Arabidopsis thaliana: one gene and its partners. The protein of the gene in region 1 interacts with the protein of each later gene in a pairwise test. Each region holds a gene or a part of one and is shown in the gene's direction. Other genes may lie near its edges.

Evidence for each region. Proteins that work in one complex are often made in the same cells at the same time.
Region 2: the proteins of TCP3 (region 1) and ERF11 interact in binary tests that used the Arabidopsis thaliana proteins (3 or more experiments, as listed by UniProt).
Region 3: the proteins of TCP3 (region 1) and IAA33 interact in binary tests that used the Arabidopsis thaliana proteins (3 or more experiments, as listed by UniProt).

Annotation. Positions count from the first base shown.
Region 1 is NC_003070.9:19,848,234-19,854,343, reverse strand, and holds TCP3 (TEOSINTE BRANCHED 1, cycloidea and PCF transcription factor 3), read left to right. Parts: upstream 1-2,618; 5' UTR 2,619-2,908; coding exon 2,909-4,084; 3' UTR 4,085-4,142; exon of another isoform or gene 4,143-4,143; intron 4,144-4,236; 3' UTR 4,237-4,556; downstream 4,557-6,110. UniProt on the Arabidopsis thaliana protein: Plays a pivotal role in the control of morphogenesis of shoot organs by negatively regulating the expression of boundary-specific genes such as CUC genes, probably through the induction of miRNA (e.g. miR164). Participates in ovule development.
Region 2 is NC_003070.9:9,954,611-9,960,004, reverse strand, and holds ERF11 (ERF domain protein 11), read left to right. Parts: upstream 1-3,024; 5' UTR 3,025-3,039; coding exon 3,040-3,654; 3' UTR 3,655-4,189; downstream 4,190-5,394.
Region 3 is NC_003076.8:23,267,119-23,272,297, forward strand, and holds IAA33 (indole-3-acetic acid inducible 33), read left to right. Parts: upstream 1-2,795; 5' UTR 2,796-2,905; coding exon 2,906-3,342; intron 3,343-3,762; coding exon 3,763-3,841; 3' UTR 3,842-3,974; downstream 3,975-5,179. Other genes in the region: AT5G57410 (Afadin/alpha-actinin-binding protein), read right to left, coding at 10-107, 181-292, 379-404, 491-523; GS1 (Haloacid dehalogenase-like hydrolase (HAD) superfamily protein), read right to left, coding at 4,400-4,529, 4,606-4,685, 4,786-4,933, 5,036-5,096. UniProt on the Arabidopsis thaliana protein: Aux/IAA proteins are short-lived transcriptional factors that function as repressors of early auxin response genes at low auxin concentrations.

The DNA of each region.
Region 1 (6,110 bases):
AAAAGGTTAGAGAAAAGGTCTATACACTTTCAGCCCAAATCATCAAAAACCAAAACTAGTTTGGTAACCCAAGTTTCATCTTCTTTTTTGCCCTCTCTTTTCTTCTTTTGGTTATTGTGACTTTTATTACAATTTACTTTTACAGTAGTTACACAAAAGTAACAATAATATTTTATTTCTAGACAAAAAGGGTACCAGAAAACTGAATTAAAGCATCGTCCTTTCACTTTTTTTTTTTTTAACATGGCACATGCATATTTATCATCCGTGTCAACATTCTTCCTTTCTTATATTTTTTTCACTAAAATTGCAAAACGGATTATTGGATCCACATTCGTCCTTTCTATATCCCTTTTCACGTAAACCAAATAATATGCCTCGATATATGATTAGTACCATATATTCTTTATTCTTTCTTTTGTGTACTCATGTATAATGTATTAGATTTATACAAGAAGACCCTAATAGACTCATTAACTCTAACAATTACCGTTAGTGTTTTTGTGTATTGCCCTTTAAAACTGTTCATGTTAGAGGAAACACTATTTGACCATCTAACTCTTGTAAACAAATCAAATAATCAGTTTATGTAAAATTATAAAGACGAATAAAAATAAAATATTTTACTACAATTCCCCTGAAAATGACTTAATACAAACTAATCATTTTGAAAGGGAATGGAAGAATGAATTTATAACTTTTCACAGTGCTTTAATTTCTTTTATTACGGAAAAAAATAAGACAATGGAAATAAACGAAATAAAACTAGGAAATTGACAGAAAAAATTGTGTTTATTTCTTTATCGGAAAAACAAGTTGACAAAAATAAATGAAAGGAATAAATATTGGGGAAAATAACTTAAGAGAGAGAGATAAGAGGAAATGACTATGAGGGTGATGGGGAGTGTACTTACTGACACACATGCGATCGAAAAACACTAAAAGCCTATAGGGTATATTCGTAAATTTATTTAGACTACACTTGGTTGAGTAGGTGCAATGGGAAACATTTATTTGAAATTTGATTCCATCTTTGCCTTACATATCGATACGTCATCTTTTTATGTGTGCATTGTCATTATTTGATGATCAAGAATATGGTACCAAATACATTATATATCAGAAAAGTTCGTATGACTACGGGTATTTAATTAAAAATACAGTACATGCATGGTCGGTGTGTATAATGGAGAAGTAGTTAGAAAGAGAATTTGTGGTAATGACAAAAAAATGGAAAACAATAATTGATTGTGTCCTAAACCAGTGAACCGTGCGATATTTCGTGCCTTTAAATTTGATGTTGCATGTCGTAGAACGATGTTTTGATAATTTCTTCTCTTGGGAAGGTAAAAGAAAAAATTATGGATTCAATGCAGATTGGCTCGATGAGTAGGAAACGCACTTACAAAAAACATAAATCTCCTATCTACAATCACATATTTCTTCTTATATCTCTCTTGAAATCTCTACATGAATCACACCTAAAATGTTCATATTTAATCACATACCATACTTGTATTAGTATGTCAAATGCTCGGGATTTCCTTGTTAACAAAAAAGAAAAAAAAAACTGATTGAGTTACCAAATTACGTATATATACACATTTTTATCTTTGTTTAAAGGAAATTCAAGTTAATTTTAAACTAAAACTATGTACAAGTATGTATCTCTATTATTTTCGTTTTCCATCTGAAACTTTACTACGTTTGGTTAATTAAAAGTGGGATTGACGAACAGTGGAGTTCGAGAACAGATAGTGGAAAGGAGCATAGACAATGGTTGATTATAGGGATACTGTCGAATCCTACGGATACTGGTGATGCATTTTACAGGGTGTAACCTCTAAAACCAATACAATTTGATTCGATGAAAATAATACTTTATTTGTTTAAAATAATACCATCAATATTAGTTTATACCGCCCAATTATTAGTGTCTCCAACTCTCCAACAGATCTAAAAGCTTTACTTTTTAGTTTTTATTATAAAAGAAATCTTCTTGTATTGTCTTTTTTTCCAACAACCCAAAACCTTTACTACCTCAAAAGTTCTGTATTAATATTTTCTAACACAGTACAGAACAATCTTTGACTTGGTAAAATTTGGGTTTATTAGTGCTTATAGTTTCTATCATCTTTAACAAAAAAAAATAGTGGTAGTCAGAACCAAACCTAAGAGGACTATGTATATGTGTTGATATTCTTACAGTAACCTCTACCAAAATATATCCATTGTAATGTATATAGCTAATACAATTCGAAATGTCATGTAAAATATTTCCACATGATGAATCGGACAAAAGCTTTTTGTTTTTCATTTAGAAAAACCATAAAATATATAATATAAAATAAGAAAACACTTTAAAAATGAAATAAAAGCACAAGTGATGATGATGAGTATCAGAGAGCTCTTTTTATGACCAAACACACTCCTTCCATTACCATTTCCCTCTCTTCCCCAAACCCCAAAATCTCTTCCTTTTTTTACCGTTACTGTAAATTTTCCGGCCAGAAACAAAAAATTAAAAAGAGCTTTCCTGGATTCTCGTTTAGTCAATTCCACATCTCTCTATCTCTTCTCTCTCTTCTTGCTTCCTCTGTTTTTGCTTCTTGAATTCTCAGAAACAGAGACAAATTCTAAAAAAGAAACAATCTTTAGACAAAAGAAGAGAAATTTAGTCATGGGTTAGTCTGCAAAATTCAATTACGTCTTCTTCTTCTTCTTCTTCTTCATCTTTGATTTGTTGGCGTGTTTAGGGTTTGGGATTTGGAGGAGAGGCAAAATGTTGAATTAAATAAATCGAACGACTCTGGATTCCTCGGCGGTTAACGACCGCCGTCGCCGCCGCCGTCATAATCCAACCACCACCACCATCAACGACCTTGAATTTCCACAATATGCTTCATCAATGGCACCAGATAACGACCATTTCTTAGATTCTCCGTCGCCGCCTCTTCTAGAGATGAGACACCACCAATCAGCGACGGAGAACGGTGGTGGTTGCGGCGAGATTGTGGAGGTACAAGGAGGTCACATTGTTCGGTCAACAGGAAGAAAAGACAGACATAGTAAAGTATGTACAGCGAAAGGACCACGTGACCGGCGCGTGAGACTCTCAGCTCCGACGGCGATTCAATTCTACGATGTTCAAGATAGACTTGGTTTTGATCGACCAAGTAAAGCTGTTGATTGGCTTATTACTAAAGCTAAATCCGCCATTGATGATCTTGCTCAGCTTCCTCCTTGGAACCCCGCCGATACTCTTCGTCAACACGCCGCCGCTGCTGCTAACGCTAAACCCAGAAAAACCAAAACTTTAATTTCTCCGCCACCGCCACAACCGGAAGAAACAGAGCATCATCGAATCGGAGAAGAAGAAGATAACGAATCGAGTTTTCTTCCGGCGTCAATGGATTCTGATTCGATAGCTGACACTATAAAGTCGTTTTTTCCGGTAGCTTCAACGCAACAGAGCTATCATCATCAGCCACCGTCACGAGGCAATACACAGAACCAAGATCTTCTTCGTCTCTCGCTTCAATCTTTCCAAAATGGTCCACCTTTTCCTAATCAAACAGAACCTGCTCTGTTCTCCGGCCAGAGCAATAATCAGTTAGCGTTTGACTCATCGACGGCAAGCTGGGAACAGAGTCATCAGTCACCGGAATTTGGAAAGATACAGAGACTAGTGTCATGGAACAACGTCGGAGCAGCTGAATCCGCCGGAAGTACCGGAGGATTTGTGTTTGCTTCTCCGTCGTCGTTGCATCCAGTTTATAGCCAAAGTCAGCTTTTATCACAGAGGGGTCCCCTTCAGTCCATTAACACACCTATGATTCGTGCTTGGTTTGATCCTCACCATCATCATCATCATCATCAGCAGTCCATGACCACTGACGATCTCCACCATCATCATCCCTACCATATCCCTCCCGGGATTCACCAATCTGCTATTCCAGGCATTGCATTTGCTTCAAGTGGTGAATTCTCCGGTTTTCGTATACCAGCACGGTTTCAAGGCGAACAAGAGGAGCACGGCGGCGACAACAAGCCGTCCTCTGCTTCATCCGATTCTCGCCATTAAACAAGTTCCAAAAACACATAAGATTGTGCAACACAACAGGTTTCTTTTCATATTCCAGGTTTGAAGTTTTTCGAAAACAACACCCATTTGTGAAAGTCTTGTCTTTTAACCATTCATCAAATTGATAACTTACATTGTTTTTAACGTTTCAGGGCGCTTCGAATGCGTGGAATAGTGAAGGCGGTTTTCGTTGTTGTGTGTTTCGAATATCCAAATGGCCTATAAATCTGATCAACAGTTTCAGGTTCTTCTTAAGTCTTTAAAAGCCTAGGCCTTGGTTAATTTGAATTCATCTTGTATCAATTAGAGAACGTTCTGTAAGTTCAATTCTGTTTTACAATGTTTAGCTCTAGCTACATGAGCTCACATCTTGTTTGTTGTAACTTGTTCTACAATTACTTGTCCTTTATTTATGTTCTTGTGTTGGAAACCTTTAACCCCACTTGAAGCTAAAGTCTTTTGTTTGCCCTTTATTCCATGTGGGTTTAATGCTTTCCCCAAGAAATATCTCATTTTGTTTGCCAATCCCAAAGAGGAACAGTGCTCTATCCATCTACATCAATCATCATATTGTTTGGTTTAGCGTTTATTAGAAGTATTATCTTCCCAATCTCTGTGGTTATAAACTTTCTTTTGACTAGCAAATGGAATTTGAAACAATCATTTCTCTTGTGTTTCTTAGTCTCTTCTTTTGGCCCCATAGATGAAGAGTCACTTTCCATAGACAGGGTTTGCATGTGTTGCTTCTTTTGGAGTTTAGAGTTTAGAATTATGGGTTTCTTTTAAAATTTGTTTAGTGGATGCAAGCTCTGATACTTAGTAAGAGTTTTGGCCCATGATCCACGGATCCCTATATAAATATCAGAGAAATGGTTTTTGACTTCTTTTCATAGAATCTTCCTCAATACTAGATTTCAAGATTTTATGAAAAAGGAGCAAAAGAGAATTTGATGTCTAGTGTCAAATAACTGTCTACTTTAAACAAGAGTGTAGGAGATCCACCGAACTTGAGTGTGATGTAGTCTTTAATAAGTAAAAAAGAATAGGACATTAGATTAGTAGATGAAGACACTCTTGTTGGTCTAAATGAAGGAAGTTGAAAGCAGAGCAAGTCTCTTTCTTTTCAGATCAATAGTGTGAAGGTATGAATTTTTGTCCATAATTTGTCGATTTTTGGCTATAATATCTTTCGGAAAGAAAACTTTGGTTTCTTATGGAGAAGTTATATAAAGAAGCAACACTTTACATGAGATGGGATAAGATGAGATTGGAAGTAGTGGCTAGACATCCGAAAGTAAATTGCAGCATAAAAAAGAAAAAGACAGCCTGAATCATATCCATTCTACATTTTAAAATTCTGTTATCTTTTCTTCTTCTTTTGTTCCTTCCTTGTAACCTTCTTGTTCAAATGTATATGATTGATGTACATACAATAAATGTAGCTCATGATGAATCTGGTTATGTGAAAAGATCAATGAGGTAAAAGAAACCTCTATGATTTTGGGGGCATGACAGAAGAAAAAGGGAATGTTGAAGAAGACATGAATGATAATAATAAAAAAGGATAGCAAAGTGTAAGAAAAGGATGAAACCAAAATGGGAAAAAAGGTTGTCACCTTTAAAGAATGGTCCCCTCTCTCTATTTCTTTCTATCTCTTGTCAGATCTCAAGGTTACATACAGCTGTCTTACTTTTCTTTGATTTTTCTTCATTCTATTCCATAGCCAATGATAATTTTCCAAAAAAAGAAGAAAAGAGTCGCAAAATGGCTCAAAACTTGATTGTTGGATAGTGGTCTAAAACCATTATTGTTAGTTTGCATCTCTCTTCAGAGGATGAGGTTACAACAAAAAGTTTTAAAACCGGCTCTTTTGGTTATTAAGTAATGAGGTTACTACGTTTGATGTTGTTTGAGTTAACCGGTTTCATTTACTGAATGATAAGAAGCCAACCAAATTTGATCCAATTTTCCTTATTGACACTAAAAGTTTATGTTCCTTCAAACACCATCAAATTCTGGCAGGCA
Region 2 (5,394 bases), 9.9 Mb from region 1:
CTATTTTTAGTTACAAGCTCTTTCACAAGAAAGAAAAATAAAAGGATTTTATTAGCTATATGAACTATTAGAAATTTTGTTTGTTAATTTCATAAGATAAATATATTTGATATTTTTATAAGTAGTTATAGTTTGCAGTCTTTATTCTCTATGTTACTTGCTATGTGTTTACTATTCAATTAAAACATTTTAACTAGTGATTTTTTTTTTTCATCACCTAGTGATTTGTTTTGGTCCTAGTGATGATCTTTTTGGTGAAAACTATTGCATAAATTAGTTTCCGGTAGTCCGACCGATTTTCGATTTAAATGCTTGATACTCATTAATACCCCTGGAAAAGAAAATATGTTTCTATGAAGACCAAGTAGTTATGGTCCATTCACCTCAAAGTCCAAAATGCAATTAAATAATGTGAAATTGTGAGGAGAAGAATCTATCAAACTTTGAAATCAAGGTGGAGCAAATGCATTGCATCTGAAATGTGGGCAATCCTGGAAAAAGGTAACATTATCCCATTTTTATATTTTAAACATTAGTATCAGTATTAGTATTATAGTATTTTATACTTCGATTAACTATGTAAAATATGATTCTCATCAGTGTTTGTTCTCCGACAATTTTGCAGCCATCTGTCTTTGGTTTCAACCCGATCTTTCTGTTTTATGGTCTATACAATGTGTGCATTGTTTATTTTGTTGTTGTCAAAATGTGTCTGTTTTAAGTAACACATAAGTAAGTAATCATTCTTTGTTTTAAAAAAAAAATACATATATTTGTTTTTAAGATATGGTTTAATTGTTCTACCAATTATTGAGCGTAAAGGCTGCATGTGTGCTTCGTCAAGCCATCCGCAGCCGCATGTGAGACCAGTTTAAGTATTTGCAGTATTTGCAATATTGGCTACGATTTTCTGTTTTTTTGGAAGAAGAAGAGTTTTCAAAAAAAATATTTTCGTTTTGAATCATCAATATAAACACATAGTTAAATTTGGGTGAATATTTTAAAAAGATAAACACCAACCTAAATTTATGAATAGCTACGCAACCTCAACTTCGTTTACCAAGCTATGAAAAAAATAGAATTAAACAATTTGGAGGACTAATTCTTTAAATAGAACTTGTTAGAATATATTATGATTTGTTTGTGTATATCTATACTTTTTTTAATTGTATATTTACTCAAATAAGATCTTTCTCAATTCAGTCATACCATCTAGAATGACAAAAGATTCTTTCATCTTACATGGTATTAAAATCCTTTGATCTTTAAATTCTATAAATTACAGCGCTGTCTTTTTTCTTTGCTATGCCGCTGCTGCCTAAACAAAACACCACCACCATCATATCTATAATAAATTAAAATTTATAATAAAAACAACTTAAAATTAATCTGATAAAAAAACAAATTAACAAATATCATGGTTGGAATATGTTTGTTTTCTTTCGTATCGTTTGCTTTATCAGTAAACAAATAATTGATTTTTACCATTCGCGTTAGTAGTTATTAAATATTTGATAAGATTATTGTGACGGCAAATTTTATTGGAATATATAAATAAACATATTAAATTTTAAATTTAACATAATACTATATATAACGATATTATTATATTTTCAGCTTATTAAAATAGTTATAAATTTTTAAATGGTTAGATTTATATTTACTGTGTTATATATAGTGTTAACATATCATTCATAAATATGATGTAAAAATATATGATTGTATTAAAATTTGAAATATTTTCTCTCGTGACAGCTTGCCAACTATCAATAATTAGGAAGATAAGTAATTGTATACAGTATTTGTTTTCTTTACTACTCAATACATGATAAATTTTTAATACTTAAAGATATATATAATTTCATTTAATAATAATTATTTCAATTGATAATTAAATAATAACACATGTCATATGTTTGTTAATTTATATATATAGAGAAACATTGGTATGCAACTCTCCATATCTTTACTTATATTTGTATTTGAGGATAAAATTTGTTTGAAATAATTACTATGTTGATAAATTTATGATATTTATAAGAACATTAGGAAAGTTTCTTTTTGAAAATAAGCAACTGATTCAATTTTGTATCAAATCATACACTTAAAATTATCTCTTTTAAAAACCAGATTTAAAAAATAATAATTAGATGAAAATATAGTTTTTTTTGTCAGAAATATAAATTATAATTTGAGAATGTCATTAACGAATCATTTCTAGTAATAATAAATATATTTTTTTTAATTTTTCTATAAAATCAATTGAAAGTTGTTTTCATCACCATAAGTCAATTGAAAGTTGTTTTCCTATTTCTTTATTTTTAATAAGAAAATAAGAATAAATAATAAAAACACTCTGAAGTATATTTTTCCAAAACAAAAAATCAAAATATGACAAGCAATATACAATAAAAAAAGAAGCAAAACATATTTTTATTTTTATTTTTTTATAGCAAAATATAAATTGTTTCCATGCAAAGCCTAAAATTAAAAACGGTAGACCCATATAAACTCAATAATAACTACTACTTTTTATCCTTTCCTCTAAAAAATAAAAGATGACAACATACTTAATCTCGGATTTTAGTAACAAATAATTAAACAGATATACATATCAAAATTAAACTCGCATTTAATCAAAAATAACAGATCTAAAATCATTATCACACATCGTGTCTGTTTACAGTTTGCTAACCAATAGAAGCAGACAACACAAGTCAACACGTGTCAAGCAAGCGCGTGGGCTCCTCACCACACGCAATATATAGAAAATCCAAATAAAATCAATCAAAAAATTAACAAACTATAAAAAAAAAACATTAATATCAACATAATAAATAAAAACATTTAAGAAAATAACCACTAAATAGATAAAATGTCTTTTAGTAATAAGAAAAAAAAAAAAAAAAAAGCTTCTTCACTCTCACTTTCCTCTTTCGTGGAGACAAAAAAAAGAAGCCACGTAATATGGATTTAATTACCAAAACTGCCACTCGGCCGCCCCTTTGTTGACTTATATTTGTCGTCTCCTCCTTATAAATGATGTCCTCACAAACTTCTTCACATAACAAACTCATCAAACTTCCTCAGCGTTTCTTTTTCTTACATAAACAATTTTTCTTACATAAACAAATCTTGTTGTTTGTTGTTGTCATGGCACCGACAGTTAAAACGGCGGCCGTCAAAACCAACGAAGGTAACGGAGTCCGTTACAGAGGAGTGAGGAAGAGACCATGGGGACGTTACGCAGCCGAGATCAGAGATCCTTTCAAGAAGTCACGTGTCTGGCTCGGTACTTTCGACACTCCTGAAGAAGCCGCTCGTGCCTACGACAAACGTGCTATTGAGTTTCGTGGAGCTAAAGCCAAAACCAACTTCCCTTGTTACAACATCAACGCCCACTGCTTGAGTTTGACACAGAGCCTGAGCCAGAGCAGCACCGTGGAATCATCGTTTCCTAATCTCAACCTCGGATCTGACTCTGTTAGTTCGAGATTCCCTTTTCCTAAGATTCAGGTTAAGGCTGGGATGATGGTGTTCGATGAAAGGAGTGAATCGGATTCTTCGTCGGTGGTGATGGATGTCGTTAGATATGAAGGACGACGTGTGGTTTTGGACTTGGATCTTAATTTCCCTCCTCCACCTGAGAACTGATTAAGATTTAATTATGATTATTAGATATAATTAAATGTTTCTGAATTGAGTATTATTTGATCATCATCTAAGTAGAAGCTTTAAGTTTAAGTGGTGCCAATAATTTTTTTTTTTTTTTTTGGTCATCAGCAGATAGTTTTAAAGAATTTTTTAGTGTTGAGATCGTGTTTCGTTCAGATCTGCTGATGTTCTTTTAAATATCATTAATGATAATCCTGATCAACTAAAATGATACTTTGTTTTGGTATTAATCTCTCTGATGAACATATAAGGTTGTTGATCTTATGTTTTTTACCTATATCCAATTGGATTTGAGGAAATAGTAGGATTCTTAATTATTTTTTTAATAAACAAATATAATGGAGATAATACTTTATTCAGGATAATGAGATTATTGGTCAAATATAAAATTTGCTGTTTTGAACAAAAGCAATAATAAGTTATCTTGCTCGAATCAAGGAACACAAGCTAGGACAAGAAGCTCTAACTTTTCTTTGTAAAATTGTTAAACATAACGGCATTAGTTGTAAGAACGCTAATTTTTTTTTTTTTTTTAATTTATATATATATATATATTTTTAATAAATTATAGATAAGCAATCTATAATTTATATTATATTCAAAAACTAAAATAATAAGTTATCGTTTTGTTGTATTGTTTCTTGTTGTTATGGAAAGTGGCATTCGTAGATATCTTATGTTAATCGTTGTTTTAAGAAAAATATAGATTGTTTATCTAAATTGTATTTGGGTGTAGTCTATACCGTGTATAACACACTATTTTTTTTTTTCGTTAAAACTCAATTTACCTGAATTTTTTTTTTTTTTTAATTAAGATGAAATTTTGTATATCGATAACTTATATGATCATTTCTTATTTAATTTTCATTTTTGCCAATATGGAAAATGAATTGTACGGTTTTCATTCTTAGATTATAATATTTGTTATCTTTTCTATATATGAATGTACGATTTTTTATATGCGAATGTATTTTAACTTATCATTGACCAAAAGTCTATTATAGAAAAATAAAACATAGATATTGTGTCTTTTAATATATCTAAATAAAGAGAAAGTCATTTATACATGTATAGTTACTTATTTCTCCTAACCCATAATTTTTCTTTTGGACAAACTCCTAACCGATAGTTTATACACGTTTTGGTAGGAACTATAAATAGGTCGAGTCGTCGAGAGGTTAGCCATCTTTCAGATACTAATCTTTGGATTTCCTCTTTATTCTATATCAGTTTGGGGAATGGAAACTTGTTGGGGAAAGCCTGACATTAGATAGAGGCGGTAGTCTCATTGCTAAAAACATAACGTCTGATTATCGGCTGCAATCCTATATGGATACTGGCCATTTCTTATGGTTAAATGTTATGTTCTGCAATGAGAGAGTTTTGTCCTCTATGTGAGTATCAATTTTTTTGGCTTGAGAGATTCATAGGGAGCCTTATTTTTTGTACTGGCCAGAGAAAGCTTGTATGGTCGATTTGTATGGGTGAAGTTAAGAGTAGTGTAGCATCTAACTGTCTTTTGTATAAGTCGGATCAATAATGGCAAAATGTTAGATGAATACAGTAGTCCATGAGTATAGGTTTGCTCGATATATATCTCATTTCCATATACATACTTTACCTACAATATCTGTATCAACGTTAACAAAACTGAACTTGGACCTCGATTGCTAAACAGCCCATCAATTCTTTTGGCCCAAATATTAATGTTTATTGCTC
Region 3 (5,179 bases), on another chromosome or scaffold:
AAAATTCACCTCTGTCTCAGCTCATTAGCAGATTCTCTAAACTCTATATCACGTTGTCGCTGCTGCAGCAACGAGTACATACAATTGCAGGTCCTTGATATAGAAACCTAAATCAAACAAAAACCCTAATTAAAACCCCAAAACATCCAAACAATTTCAGCATCAATAATAAGAACCTACAGGATCATTCGAAAAGAGATCGAGCGAGGCGGGAAATCCAAATGTAACCATCGTCTGATTCAAATACTTCGTACAATGCTCCAAGTTATCCTCATTCGCAAATGTGTAATCCCTTCTCAATCAAAAAAACAAAAATTCCAATCAGTACTCATTGGAGATTTTAAAGTAAACCCTAGGGGGATTAAGAAGAAAACTAACCCTGCTGACGCAGATTGAGATAAAACCTGTGAAGAAGAAACCATAGAATCAGTCAATGGAGCTTGAAATTGAAATTCGATGAGGAAAACAAATCGGAAAACAGTAATCTTACTTTGAGATCGTATTCAGCATCATTCGCCGGCATTTTCGAAACGGCGATGAGAGCTTCCACCTCCGGCGAAAACGGCGGCGTGAGCAAACGATGAAACAGAGAATCAATTCACAGGAACAGATCTAATCTAAGCAGAGAGAGAGAGAGAGCGAAAACAAATTCAAAAATCAAAAATATCTGAAACGGAATGTTTCTGGAGAAGAGCGAAAATAAAAGTTTTTAAAACCTTTTTCACTTTGCTTTTTATTTCAGTAATAATAATCAAAAGGATTTGTTTTTGTGATAATGAGCTTTAAGGAAATGATCCTGTGAAGAGACACCTACTGGCTTCAGTGCTCCTCCACGTGATTTTGACGCGCCAACTGTTTAGGCTTTAAGAGAAGGAAGAATGTGGGCCCATACTGTTTTAATTGGGCCTATTAAGGCTTTATTGAGCTGATGTGTAAGGCCTGTTTAGACTTGTGCTAATGTTGGATGAGCATGACAAAATGATTATCATTGTTTGGTTAGAAACAGACCAAAACAGCGGGTAAGTGTTTGATTGTTATTTAAATTTTGATTATTATCGGGGAGTGGAATAAGCAAACATTAACGTATGTCTGTAGAATCGAAAAAAAACAAAAATCGAGACAAATTAATTAGATGATTAAATATAACATGTAGACGTAGTAATGTGTTAAACTATAGTCCTAAATTGAGATCTATGAAACCGAGGTAAGTTTTAAATATTTCCATGCCTCCATGTCGGATCTTCGAGTCTTCTAATTCGAATCCCGAGTTGAAATTTAAATGTATAGAGTAAATTATTGTTTGCTTCAAACTTAAGAAAATATGCTTCTTGTGCTTCGTTTTATGTCTTCTTGGGTTTGCTTTAGCTTATTCACCTATTGCTTGTTGGATCCACCGTTAATTTTTCATTTAATAGTCCATATGAAAATCAACATTTTAGCATAAAATTACAATTTTAGGCACAGTTATTTGACTCATACATGATTTACCTATACATTTGGTCACTCAACTTAATTATTTGCGATTTTAAAATCGTGTATAATGTTTTAAAATGACTTGAATTGGAATCAACTAATTTTAGGTAGCTCGAACAAACTTGTTATTTATTTATTTTCAGATAAGTTCCGTACACCAAAATCTATAACCGAAAAGACTTTGGATTATATTGTATGAGTTTAGAGTGCAATTCTTCTTTTTTTCCCTCTTTTTTGATCTAAGAAATTTCTAATTAAGTTCACATATTTTCTTGGATCTAATCACTCTAAACAACTCCTCCCAAATAACATGAGTTTTCATTATTATTAGAGGGGTGATGTCTACATTTTGGACCAAGGTCTAATACTTTGTTTTACTTTCGTCAAACCGAGTTAAATCCGAGAAGTATGAGATCAAACGTTAAACGTATTCATGTGTGTGTATGTGATGTTACATGGATAAATGGCTATGCATGTATATTCTATATGACGTTGATGTGTGGTCGTGTGGATATATGCGTGTGTTTACCGGTTAATACAATTTTTATATTCTTCGTATGTATGCTTGATGTGTGTATTAGTGTATGAAAAGAAAATGACGTGGAACTCCCGACCAGGCGCGAGTCAAGGAAGCGAGGCGTTCGGCGACGGCAGCGCGGTCGTCTCCGCAGCCCATGCGTTACAATTTACAAGATCTCTTTTTCTATGATACCTTCTTTCATTATTTAATTAATCACCAATTTATAATGTCTTTAATTAATTTGGAGTTTTCTAGCTAATTCACATTTCTTATTATATTGACTCTTTTTCACTGTTTTTATGTTTTCCCATCAGCTTTCTTTTTGTCCACGTAAACATTTCCAAACATTTTTATTTTAAAATTTCTTTATACTTGTATACATAAATACCTAATACCTTGCTGGTAATATATGGTCAAAATTAGTGAAACCTTGGAACATTTCCTGTAACAGCTCTTATTACTCTCACAGTCGCAGTGATAGATATATAGTAGAATAAGTTAGCAAAATACAATAATTGTAAAAACACATTTAATACATAAGCATGTGAGAACATTTTTACGTGAATCCAATTGTTCATTGAATAATTAAATATTAAATTGATTGTTAATTGAGGATTCATTGTCTAACGAGAAATCCAAAGAGCAGATGTACTTTCAAATTAAATGAAACATTTAAGACAACATTAAACCAAACGAAAATTGAAAAATGAAAAATAAAAGACACCTTTTTGTTTGCCACACAATTTACGCTTTCTCTATCTATTTATATGTACATACATTCACTTTCACCAGAATCTCATCAAACACACAGTCTCTCTCTAGCTTAACAAAAAAACACGAAACACTTTGAGTTCCATGTAAGCGTCCGTTGTCTTCTCTAAGTTACAAAAGCCCTAAAACCCTACTCTCAATATGAATAGTTTCGAGCCACAAAGCCAAGACTCTTTGCAAAGAAGGTTTCATCAAGACAACAGCACCACACAACAACCTCGTGACACCACGACACCTTTCATACCCAAACCGGCTTCCAAAAACCATAATAATAGCAACTCCAGCTCTGGAGCGGCCGGGAGATCATTCCAAGGCTTTGGGCTTAACGTAGAGGACGATCTTGTTTCATCGGTGGTTCCTCCGGTTACGGTTGTGCTAGAGGGACGTTCTATATGTCAACGCATAAGCCTAGACAAGCATGGGAGTTATCAGAGCTTGGCTTCGGCTCTAAGGCAAATGTTTGTCGATGGAGCTGATTCAACGGACGATCTTGATCTGTCAAACGCCATTCCTGGCCATCTTATTGCTTATGAAGACATGGAGAACGATCTCCTTCTTGCCGGAGATCTTACTTGGAAGTAATTTTCCTCCCCTAACATTAATTTTCTTTATTATTGTCAGGATGGCCATATATATACAAACTATATATAAAACGAGCCTTATTTTAAACATAGGAAAACTATATTAATTTTTTTTCCCCTAACGGTAAAATACTACAAACACAAGTTTTTCAAGCTGCCAAGAAAACACATGTTCTCTGCTTTTCTAAAAAGACAAATATCAATAATTTAGTGAAATGATATTTTGTTGCTATCCTTATTCTGTATACTCAATTTTGCTGGCTATAGTTATTTTGTTTGATACCGTTATATATCTTTCTTAAAAATTACGGTTTTCGTTCAATGTTTAGTATAATTAGATTTTGAAGGTTTCGTGATCTTTAACTGGCAATATTTTAATACTTGGACGTTAACGAGAAAATTTGCTTGTTGACACAGGGACTTTGTTCGTGTAGCGAAGAGAATTCGAATCTTGCCGGTCAAGGGAAACACAAGACAAGTTAAAAGAAACGAGTGAGGAGGAGAAAGACCGTTTTTGCAACGATGTCATACGATGTTTTGTAACAGCCGATGTCGGTTGAATCCTAATGGCATTACTGTAAAATCATCATTGGATGTGTTTGCTTCTTTGTTCACGTACGAAATGAAAAATAAAAAAAAAGTTGTAATACTAAATATAACCTATTTTTCTTAATTATAGTGTAAAACATGAAACGTTGCAGTAACAACACATGTTAGTGATGCGTAAAGAAGAGAGATTCCAAACCATAAAGAAGGAATCAATTCAGCTATACCGACAAGAACAAAATAAGATAAGCCAATGTTGAAACTTGTGGGTAAGAGTAGTTGTACAAAAATAATTTGTTTAAACGTTGAGGCAAATTTTTTTGTTTGGTCTCTCGTCATGTCACCACTTAGTTTCTTTTTATGTCTTCAATAGCCAGAAAATCATAGAACCCTTGACGACATAAAGCCTCATGGCCTTTGTCATGTACATGCCAAAACAATATAACAAGACAAAGAATAAGCTTCATGATTTGAGTTTTTATCATTACCTTGAAGACGTTTGTATCGTTTAGTTCGAATCTTCGAATGGAGGCAAGCCCCACTCTTCCGGTTTAAAATCGACTAGAGAGGTTATGATTTGATCTGCAACATCTTGGTGAGAGATATCTAGTCTAGGATCCGGTACCATAACCACGTTCCTGTAGATAGACATCAAGATGTATAAACTTGTTTCTCGGTTTTTATTGGCTTTTACATGAAGAGAAACCCACTTACATTCCGGCGTTTTTAGCAGCAAGAACTCCAGATGGAGCATCTTCAAACACCAGAACCTTTTGTGAATCCACAGGACCGTCCTAAGGAATCCAGACGAAGAGGAAACATTAGTCTACAACTCATTTTAAATATGAACTAGTTAGTAATGGAGAATCTTGGAGACTGTTGCCTGTTAGTTACCTTAAATCTCCTAGCAGCAGCGAGAAACCCGTCAGGAGCAGGCTTTCCTTGCTTCACCTCTGGATCATCACCACGAACTACGTGATGCATCAATGAGAAAAGCTCTCTGTGTCTTTGGGTTTTCAGATCATAATGCCGTGTGTGAGTACTGCAAGCGTACAATCAAACATAACAAGTCAGTTTCTGGATTGTAAAGGACAATGAGAATGCAAACTAAATGGTATATTATGAGATGAGGTGAAGAGATTACCCGGTAGCAATACATATTGGAATATTCTTTACATGGAGATGCTTAATGAGTCTACTAGCCCCTGAAAATGTGGAAGAGAATTGGTTCATGACCACATCAAAAACATAAATATCCGTACATGTAATCTTCCTGTGAACCAAATGT